Linked DNA regions of Callithrix jacchus. The protein of the gene in region 1 interacts with the protein of each later gene in a pairwise test. Links are inferred from orthologs where the notes say so. Each region holds a gene or a part of one and is shown on either strand. Other genes may lie near its edges.

What was found.
Region 2: the proteins of MYOD1 (region 1) and ID2 interact in a two-hybrid assay, tested with the Homo sapiens proteins (2 studies listed by BioGRID). The link is inferred for Callithrix jacchus from reciprocal best matches to the Homo sapiens genes MYOD1 and ID2.

The regions. Positions count from the first base shown.
Region 1 is NC_133511.1:83,727,871-83,732,404, forward strand, and holds the start of MYOD1 (myoblast determination protein 1), read left to right. Parts: upstream 1-1,542; 5' UTR 1,543-1,773; intron 1,774-1,956; 5' UTR 1,957-2,076; intron 2,077-2,531; 5' UTR 2,532-2,619; coding exon 2,620-3,249; intron 3,250-3,736; coding exon 3,737-3,815; intron 3,816-4,100; coding exon 4,101-4,351; 3' UTR 4,352-4,534. UniProt on the Homo sapiens protein: Acts as a transcriptional activator that promotes transcription of muscle-specific target genes and plays a role in muscle differentiation. Together with MYF5 and MYOG, co-occupies muscle-specific gene promoter core region during myogenesis.
Region 2 is NC_133515.1:106,259,775-106,264,145, reverse strand, and holds ID2 (DNA-binding protein inhibitor ID-2), read left to right. Parts: upstream 1-1,468; 5' UTR 1,469-1,578; coding exon 1,579-1,926; intron 1,927-2,246; coding exon 2,247-2,303; 3' UTR 2,304-2,310; intron 2,311-3,095; 3' UTR 3,096-3,855; downstream 3,856-4,371. UniProt on the Homo sapiens protein: Transcriptional regulator (lacking a basic DNA binding domain) which negatively regulates the basic helix-loop-helix (bHLH) transcription factors by forming heterodimers and inhibiting their DNA binding and transcriptional activity.

The DNA.
Region 1 (4,534 bases):
TCACTGGGATTACTGCAATAGCCTAATAATTGGTCTCCCTGCTTCTGCCCTTTCCCTCTAGTAACTAGCATGCGCCTGTTAAAACCTAAGTCAGATGGTGACATTCTTCTCTTCTGCTCAAGCCCTCCAGTAGTTTTCCATCTCACAAAACAACCCTTTTCTTTCTCAACCCATTTCCCACTATCCCTTTCACTCACCTTGCCGCAGACATATCAGCCTGTTTGCCATACTTTAAATCTGCCAAACACAATCCTGTCCCAGGACCTCTGCACATGCTTACCCTTCTATCTGGCCCTGCATATCTCCAGACATCTGTTTCCACTTCTCTTCATTCAGGTCTCTGCTCAAATGTAGCAGAGAGGCCTTCCCTATCCACTCCATAATCTTCATCACTGTGTTCCCCTGCCTGGCTTTTTCCTCGTAAAGCTTCTAACATCCTGGTATCACGTACTTCCTTATTAGTTCCTTTTCTGTCACCCTGCTTACATTTACAGTGTAAGTGCCATGTAAGCAGAGTCTTGGTTTCGTTCATTGCTCTAGCCCCACACTTGGACTGGCACCTGACATATAATGGATACTTAACAATATGTGAATTTCCGGGACTTTTCTGCCTTTGCCAGGATTTGGAGTTACCATCACTGCTGCTCCATGACATAGACATTACTGAATACACAAATAAAGGTGGTCCTGTGGAGTAAAGCTGGGTGAGCACTTCATGAAGGGAGACCTGCAGCACCACTACCAGCAGCAGAGAAGCGAAAAAGGTAGGACCACAAAAGAGCCCTCTGGGTTTGGTGGGAAAGGAGGACATCTCAGGGCCCAGAAGGGCCAGCCAGGATGGCTTTCAGAAGTTAGTGGGACACAAAGATCACTCCTGCTTAACCTTCTGGTTTCCAAGAGGGGAGATCCAGGCAGGGATGTATGGTCAATGGAGATTCCTACCCAGATTGCCCAGAGGACTGTGTGAACTGCAGATTCAGAAAGAGGCTGAGAGGCCCCCATGGGGGTGGTGAGTATGCTGAGGCTGGTATGCTGAGATCCCATATCCCATGGGGTGGTTGCCTCCTCCTGTTTCTAGCCTTTCCAGTGAGGCTGTAGGAAAGAGACACAGCTGGGGCCTGGAGACTGTGTTCGACTCTGTCTGGGCTTGGTGCCATGCACCAGTTGTAAGCTTGCAGGACATAGCATCCAACTCTGAAAGCCCTGTTGTTCGCATAACCCTACACCACCGCCTGAGGGCTTCCATATCCTTGGTCTTTTCAGACTTTCATCCCCACCGCAATTACTCCAAGAAATTACTGTCATCCCCAAATCTGTAACTGGAAACTGAGGCTCAGGAAGGAGACACGACTTCTATAAAATCACAAAGTTGGGAAACTTGGAATATGGACTCAACTGATCTGCAAACGGAACTCTCAGAGACTTCACTCCGAGGTCAGATTCTCAGGCCAGGTCCTGAAGTTTGCGACCTTGGCGGAAGGCACTTTCCTTGACTCAGCACCCGCGGGTGAGGTGGAACCAAGCCCTGAGCAGAAGAGTTTTCTTCCCAGATGAAGAGGCAGCTCAGCCTAGACCCCAGGCCTGGCACTGGACACCCCTGCTGTGGAAACGTGCAGATTGAGATGAACGAGATCCTAACCTGCGCAGGATCAGAGTTTGGAGAGATTGGCGCGAAGCTTTAGCAGCAATGCCCGATTCCTACATAGCCGCAGCTGGGTTTCCAAGCTTCTAGGGAAGAAGGACTGGGCCCAAGAGCCCCTGAGCAACTCCCAGGTCGGGAACTGGTGGAGTATCAGAGCCTCCACGACTCGTTTAAGTGGTCTCGCCCACTTAAACTCTCGGGGTCTCTCCGCCTGTTGCTGCGTGCGTTTCTCTGCCCCTGACCCTCTAAGCTTTCTGCTTTCTGCGTATCTCTCAGTCTCTTTCGGTCCCTCTCTCACCGTCTCACTCTCTCAGCTCTGTGCCCCCAGTGACTTGCCTCTCTCCAAATCTCTCGCGACCTGATTTCTACACCCGCTCTAACCCTGGATCCCCCACAAAGCAGGGGATAGAGGAGTACTCAACGTCAGCTCAGTGGTGAGTGCGCGCAGCCAACGTTTCCAGCGGACGCAGCAGTCGAGTGCTGGAGAGGTTTGAAATGGGCCTGCCTGGGAGCCAAGTGCAGCCGCCCGGGCTGCCGGTCGCTCCCTCCCTCCCTGCCCGGTAGGGGACGGAGCGCGCGCGCCAGTGTCGAGGGGCGGGCGGGCTGGCCACTCTGCAGCCCCCTGCGGCCACCCAGAGGACCCCCCCAAACCCCGCCCCGCTGTGTTTCTATTGGCCTCGGGCTCCCCCGCCCCCAGCTGCCCGCCTGGGCTCCGGGGCGTTTAGGCTACTACTGATAAATAGCCCAGGGCGCCAGGCGCGCAGCTAGGGGTGAGGAAGCCCTAGCGCGCTGCCTCCACTTTCCTTACTACAAATCAGGCGGGACGGGACAGGGAGGGGTGGGGACAGTTGGGTGTGCATTCAGACTTGCAGCCCTTTGCTATCTACAGCCGGTGCTCCCGAGCGGCAGAAAGTTCCGGTCACCCCCTCCCGCTTGGGTTGGGCGAAGCCAGGACCGTGCCGCGTCCCTGCCAGGATATGGAGCTACTGTCACCACCGCTCCGCGATGTAGACCTGACGGGCCCTGACGGCTCTCTCTGCTCATTTGCCACAACGGACGACTTCTATGACGACCCGTGTTTCGACTCCCCGGACCTGCGCTTCTTCGAGGACCTGGACCCGCGCCTGATGCACGTGGGCGCGCTCCTGAAACCTGAAGAGCACTCGCACTTCCCCGCGGCAGCGCACCCGGCCCCGGGCGAGCGTGAGGACGAGCATGTGCGCGCGCCCAGCGGGCACCACCAGGCGGGCCGGTGCCTACTGTGGGCCTGCAAGGCGTGCAAGCGCAAGACCACCAACGCCGACCGCCGCAAGGCCGCCACCATGCGCGAGCGGCGCCGCCTGAGCAAAGTAAACGAGGCCTTTGAGACACTCAAGCGCTGCACGTCGAGCAACCCGAATCAGCGGTTGCCCAAGGTGGAGATCCTGCGCAACGCCATCCGCTATATCGAGGGCCTGCAGGCTCTGCTGCGGGACCAGGACGCCGCGCCCCCTGGCGCCGGAGCCGCCTTCTACGCGCCAGGCCCTCTGCCCCCAGGCCGCAGCGGAGAGCACTACAGCGGCGACTCTGACGCGTCCAGTCCGCGCTCCAACTGCTCGGACGGCATGGTAAGGCCGGGACCCCAGGCGGGAGTAGAAGTGAGGGCGGCGCTTGGGACATCTGGGACGCGTTTCCGAGGGCAGGGAGCTATCCTTCCTGGAAGTTTGGGCCAGGATCCATCCCGAGAGAGGACCCCTGTGTCCTGGGCAGCTGTCACCGGGATAGCCTAATTGCTTTGGAAGCGTGCGGGCAAGCGTTTAAGCCGCCCCATTGGGGGCGCTATTGGAACACTGCAGCGTGGACTTGAAGATCTTTTTCTCTACTTATCCCTACTTCCAAAATGTAGAATTTTGCCCCCTTGGTGACCGTCCACCCTTGGTTTGGCTCTACATGTTGCAGACCTCATCTCCTACCCACCCTTATCCCCTAACCATGACAGATCTGGGCCGGGAACTCGAGACTGAGTCTAGAGTTAGGGAGGGGGCAGTACAGGGAGTGGTGTTCGGGTCCCGCGCCGTCCCGCCGGCCTGACTCAGTCGCCCTTGCTGTTTGCAGATGGACTACAGCGGCCCCCCAAGCGGCGCCCGGCGGCGGAACTGCTACGAAGGCGCCTACTACAGCGAGGCGCCCAGCGGTGGGTATTCCGGGTTTCGCCCTGCTCTCTCCTTCTCCCCACGTCCTCCTTGGAGCTGTCCTGGCTTCCCCCTATCTAGGACACCCCCACCCCCACTCACACACGCTTCTGTTCTGGGAGGTGGTGCAGGCGATGAAATACTAAGCAAGTAGCTCCCTCTCCTTTCAATCGTCCCGGACTCTGACAGGTCCTCAGTTTCCAATCTGTCTCAAAGCACCGGGCCCCGGGGTGGGAGGCTTGTTCGCGGCCCCACCCCTGCTTACTAACCGAGACCTCCCCGCGCAGAACCCAGGCCCGGGAAGAGTGTCGCGGTGTCGAGCTTAGACTGCCTGTCCAGCATCGTGGAGCGCATCTCCACCGAGAGCCCTGCGGCGCCCGCACTCCTGCTGGCCGAGGCGCCCCCGGAGTCGCCTCCGCGCGGGCCAGAGGCTGCCGCCCCGAGCGAGGGAGAGAGCGGCGACCCCACCCAGTCCCCGGACGACGCCCCGCAGTGCCCTGCGGGTGCGAACCCCAACCCGATCTACCAGGTGCTCTGAGGGGAGGGTGGCCACACACCCGCCCGAGGGATGGTGCCCCTAGGGTCCCTCGCGCCCAAAAGATTGAGCTTAAATGCCCCCTCCCAACAGTGCTTTAAAAGCGACCCTTCCCGAGGTGGGAGAGGCTGGAGAACTGAAGTTTTCCACCCCCCGCCCCCCAGGGCAAGGACATAGCGCGGTTTT
Region 2 (4,371 bases), on another chromosome or scaffold:
AAGCCTGCCCCTTCCTCTTCCTTAAATGCAGAGGAGGTAGAGTTTGAGGCAGAAAGTAAGATTTGAATATTGCCTTTCCTGGGGTTGTCTAGTTTATTTTTAGAGAAAATATGATTTTCAAAACACAAAACTGACACAGTGTGGTCAAGACAGAATTCTAGATAAGCTAGACTTATGTGAGAATTGACAAGGTATTTGAGTAAATGGCTGCAAACTTTTTAATAGACTAAAAGAACGAGTTCTTAAAGATTTTCAGCCAAAAAAAAATACCTGAACCTCTATTCAGCACTAGTGCTGAAAAAATTCCAAACCTCATACATGACAGAGTATTTATTTTTTTTTTCATAAATAGTGCGAAGATGTCGGTCAATGGCTAGGACCACCTATCAGTCACAAAACCTTGGAACGCCTCTAGGTGTTGGAATGTGACACCAGAAATCACAATTCGTACATAATTAATCACATTACTTTGCCACCTACTCTGAAGGGCACAGACCGGCAGCCTTTCAAGGGCAGTGTATGTAAATGTAGTTTCAATATGCAAATTCTCCTAATGGTTTCCGATTAATACGATCATTAGAATAGCCCTGCCTCCTTTTTGAAAAGGAACCCTGAAAGCGCCCTGCCTGGGAGAGCTCCTTAGCGACCGACCGGCGAGGCTGGGCATGGTTTCCAATAAGAACTCATTCTCCTGAGCTTACAGTAATGCCTCCCGCGCTGCTCCGGGTTGCAAAAGCCCACACTAAACCTGTCGTCGAATGCGTGCGTGGGTGGTTTGTTTGTGTTAACATAACTTTTCCTTATCTGAAGAGACGAACTCACTCTACAAACGTGACTCTTCAGTGGCAACCTAATTTGCGTTTTCACTTTCTTCTGAAATGCTTTCTATCTTTCCTCACGCTCTCTCTCCGAGGGGTTGCAGTGAACTGAGGCTTCCCCGCTGCGGCGCTGAACTTGCCCCTGTCGCTGTGATTTTTAGGGCTGCCGACAGCTCCAAGGTGTGCAAGGCTTGGTCTGGGAACACCCCCACGGCGAAGGTCTTGCCTCGCCCTTAGAATTAGAATTAAGAATGTACATTTAGGCTCCCTGGGTCTGCCCCCTCCCCCCCACTCCTACTCCTCCTACCCCCTTTCCTCTCCCTCCTCCTCCCCCCTCCCATCCACCCCCTCCCTCCTCCTCCTCCTCCCCCTCCTCCCCCCCACTCTCCTTCTCCCCTTCTCCCCGCTCGCCCCGCGCTTTCTGTACTGTACTCTATTTACTGCCCAGCTGGGCTCGCGCCCCGCCCACCCCCCGGGCATTGGCTGCGAACGCGGAAGAACCGAGCCCTTGCCCCGCGCCCGCGCCCGCCAATGGAAGCGCCCGCTCGGCTTGATGGACGCTCCACCTTCCGCCAATGGGAACGAAGGGAAGCCCGAGCGTGTGGCCCCGGCGAGTGCTGATAAAAGCCGCCCCGCCGGGCTCGGGCTTCATTCTGAGCCGAGCCCAGAGCCAAGCGCAGCTAGCTCAGTAGGCGACGGCGGCGGCCTGAGCTTCAGGGCAGCCAGCTCCCTCCCGGTCTCGCCTTCCCTTGCGGCCAGCATGAAAGCCTTCAGTCCCGTGAGGTCTGTTAGGAAAAGCAGCCTGTCGGACCACAGCCTGGGCATCTCCCGGAGCAAAACCCCGGTGGACGACCCGATGAGCCTGCTGTACAACATGAACGACTGCTACTCCAAGCTCAAGGAGCTGGTGCCCAGCATCCCCCAGAACAAGAAGGTGAGCAAGATGGAAATCCTGCAGCACGTCATCGACTACATCTTGGACCTGCAGATCGCCCTGGACTCGCATCCCACTATTGTCAGCCTGCATCACCAGAGACCCGGGCAGAGCCAGACGTCCCGGACGCCGCTGACCACCCTCAACACGGATATCAGCATCCTGTCCCTGCAGGTAAGCCCTGCCCGGGGCCCCCGCCCCGCCGCCGCCGCACACTCCCGCGGTCGCCTGGGCTGTCACTAGGAGATCCGTAGCCCAGACAGTGACTTTCGCATGAGCGATTTAACTTTATTTTCTTAAAACGCTGCTGTAGACTGAGCCGTGCGTGAAATTGCTAGTAAGTTCTGACATGTGGATGTATCTGTCTTTGAATCTGAATTGGTACCATAAACGTGTTTAATGGAATTTGCTGGTCTGTGGACTACTTCAAAAACAAAAAAGCCTTTTCTACTCAACATTGTCTTAACCTCGTACCCTTTATCCTTTCTCTCCAGGCGTCTGAATTCCCTTCCGAGTTAATGTCAAATGACAGCAAGGCACTGTGTGGCTGAATATGCGGTGAGTGTTTGCCTGTGCCACCCGTGGGTAAACTGCCCCTCCGTGTGTGTGCGTGCGCGCGTGTGTTGCTTGTGTGAGGGTGCTTGTGTATCCATGAAACGTCTGATTTGGTAAGTGCATGCTTACTTCGCGGTGTCAACCGTACTGCATTCTCACTAGACGTTAAGGAGCCTGTAGCTCTGGGTACTCGAGATCACAGAACGTTTCCTTTAAAAGGAAATGATGCCAATAACTTACTACGAAGGCGGCCGAGGAACGTGTGTATCGGCTTTGTAGCAAATTCGGTGCCTTGGCTCTTCCTACGATTCCTCTGGTACTATGAGGTACTAACCTCCACTGTAATTAATCTTATCGCCACAAATTCCACAGTGATCCTCCTTCCCTAAAACTAGAGTCCTCTGGGATTCTCTGGGCTAGCACAGGATTGCTACCCTGTGCCTTAGAGCCTGTGATGTGGGATCCCAGACTTCCCTATCTGTTAACTAAAGGGCTGTTTTCAATCAAATAATTGTTACAAGAAGCAGACTGGCGCCTGTAGCACTGCTGTTGGAGATCCAAATAGGAGATTGAGTTGGGAAGTTTTTCCCTTGAGTCTCTGCTATTTTAATGTTTAATTTGCGCTGTCGAGGCGAGTGTGTGTGCTGCATCTGGACGCCAGGGTTTGCCCAATCTTTGAGTGTTTGGTTAAATGTTCAAACTGCGGCTTCCTCCCGGCGCCAGTCCGCCCGCCTCTGCCCTTCGGTTGCATTCTCTCAAACGTGCCTTTCTCTCCCAATCCTTTGCAGGTGTTCATGGCTTCTTTTTCTTTGCACAACAACAACACATCCACAGAATCTTTTAAGTGCTGAACTTATTTTTCAACCATTTCGCAAGGAGGACAACTTGAATGGACCTTTTTAAAAAGAAAAAAAAAAAATGGAAGGAAAACTAAGAATGATCATCTTCCCAGGGTGTTCTCTGACCTGGACTGTGATATTCGTTATTTATGAAAAAGACTTTTAAATGCCCTTTCTGCAGTCGGAAGGTTTTCTTTATATACTATTCCCACCATGGGGAGCGAAAACGTTAAAATCACAAGGAATTGCCCAATCTAAGCAGACTTTGCCTTTTTTCAAAGGTGGAGCGTGAATAGCAGAAGGATCCAGTATTCAGTCACTTAAATGAAGTCTTTTGGTCAGAAATTACCTTTTTGACACAAGCCTACTGAATGCTGTGTATATATTTATATATAAATATATCTATTGAGTGAAACCTTGTGAACTCTTTAATTAGAGTTTTCTTGTATAGTGGCAGAGATGTCTATTTCTGCATTAAAAAGTGTAATGATGTACTTATTCTTGCTAAACTTTTTATAAAAGTTTAGTTGTAAACTTAACCCTTTTATACAAAATAAATCAGTGTGTTTATTGAATGGTGATTGCCTGCTTTATTTCAGAGGACCAGTGCTTTGATTTTTATTATGCTATGTTATAACTGAACCCAAATAAATACAAGTTCAAATTTATGTAGACTGTATACGATTATAATAAAACATGTCTGAAGTCAGTACCTGAATTCCGAGTGGTTTTTAAGATCTCTCTGGCATTCCCTCCTCTCTCTCTCTCTCTCTCTCTCTCTCTCTCTCTCTCTCACACACACACACACACACACACACACAGTTTTCTTTATCCCCTTCTCCCTCATCCCCCCGCCCACCACCACCCCTGAAGCCTTTGCTTGTGTACAGAGAATCTCCTTATCAGATGTGTGGTGAGGCAGAGGGCTGAGTTCACAGGGACTGGGGAGGCTTTGGGCACAGAAGTGCCTCTTGAGTCCTCAAGGGAAAGCTTGGTTCTGTGCTTTAGGGCTGAGTTTAAAGCCAAGAATGAGGTGTGGTTGTGAGTACTGGGAGTGTGTGTGGCAGGGCTACCTGTCTGGGCATTAAAACGGTTCTCTGGAGTAAATGAAAGTAAATCGGGAGAAGAAAAGAGGCTGCACAGAATTCAGAACGTGGGAAATATATTCAGATTTAAGGGAAGGCAGAAACACCTGAGGGTTACTGTTTGCCCGGGGAACTAAGCT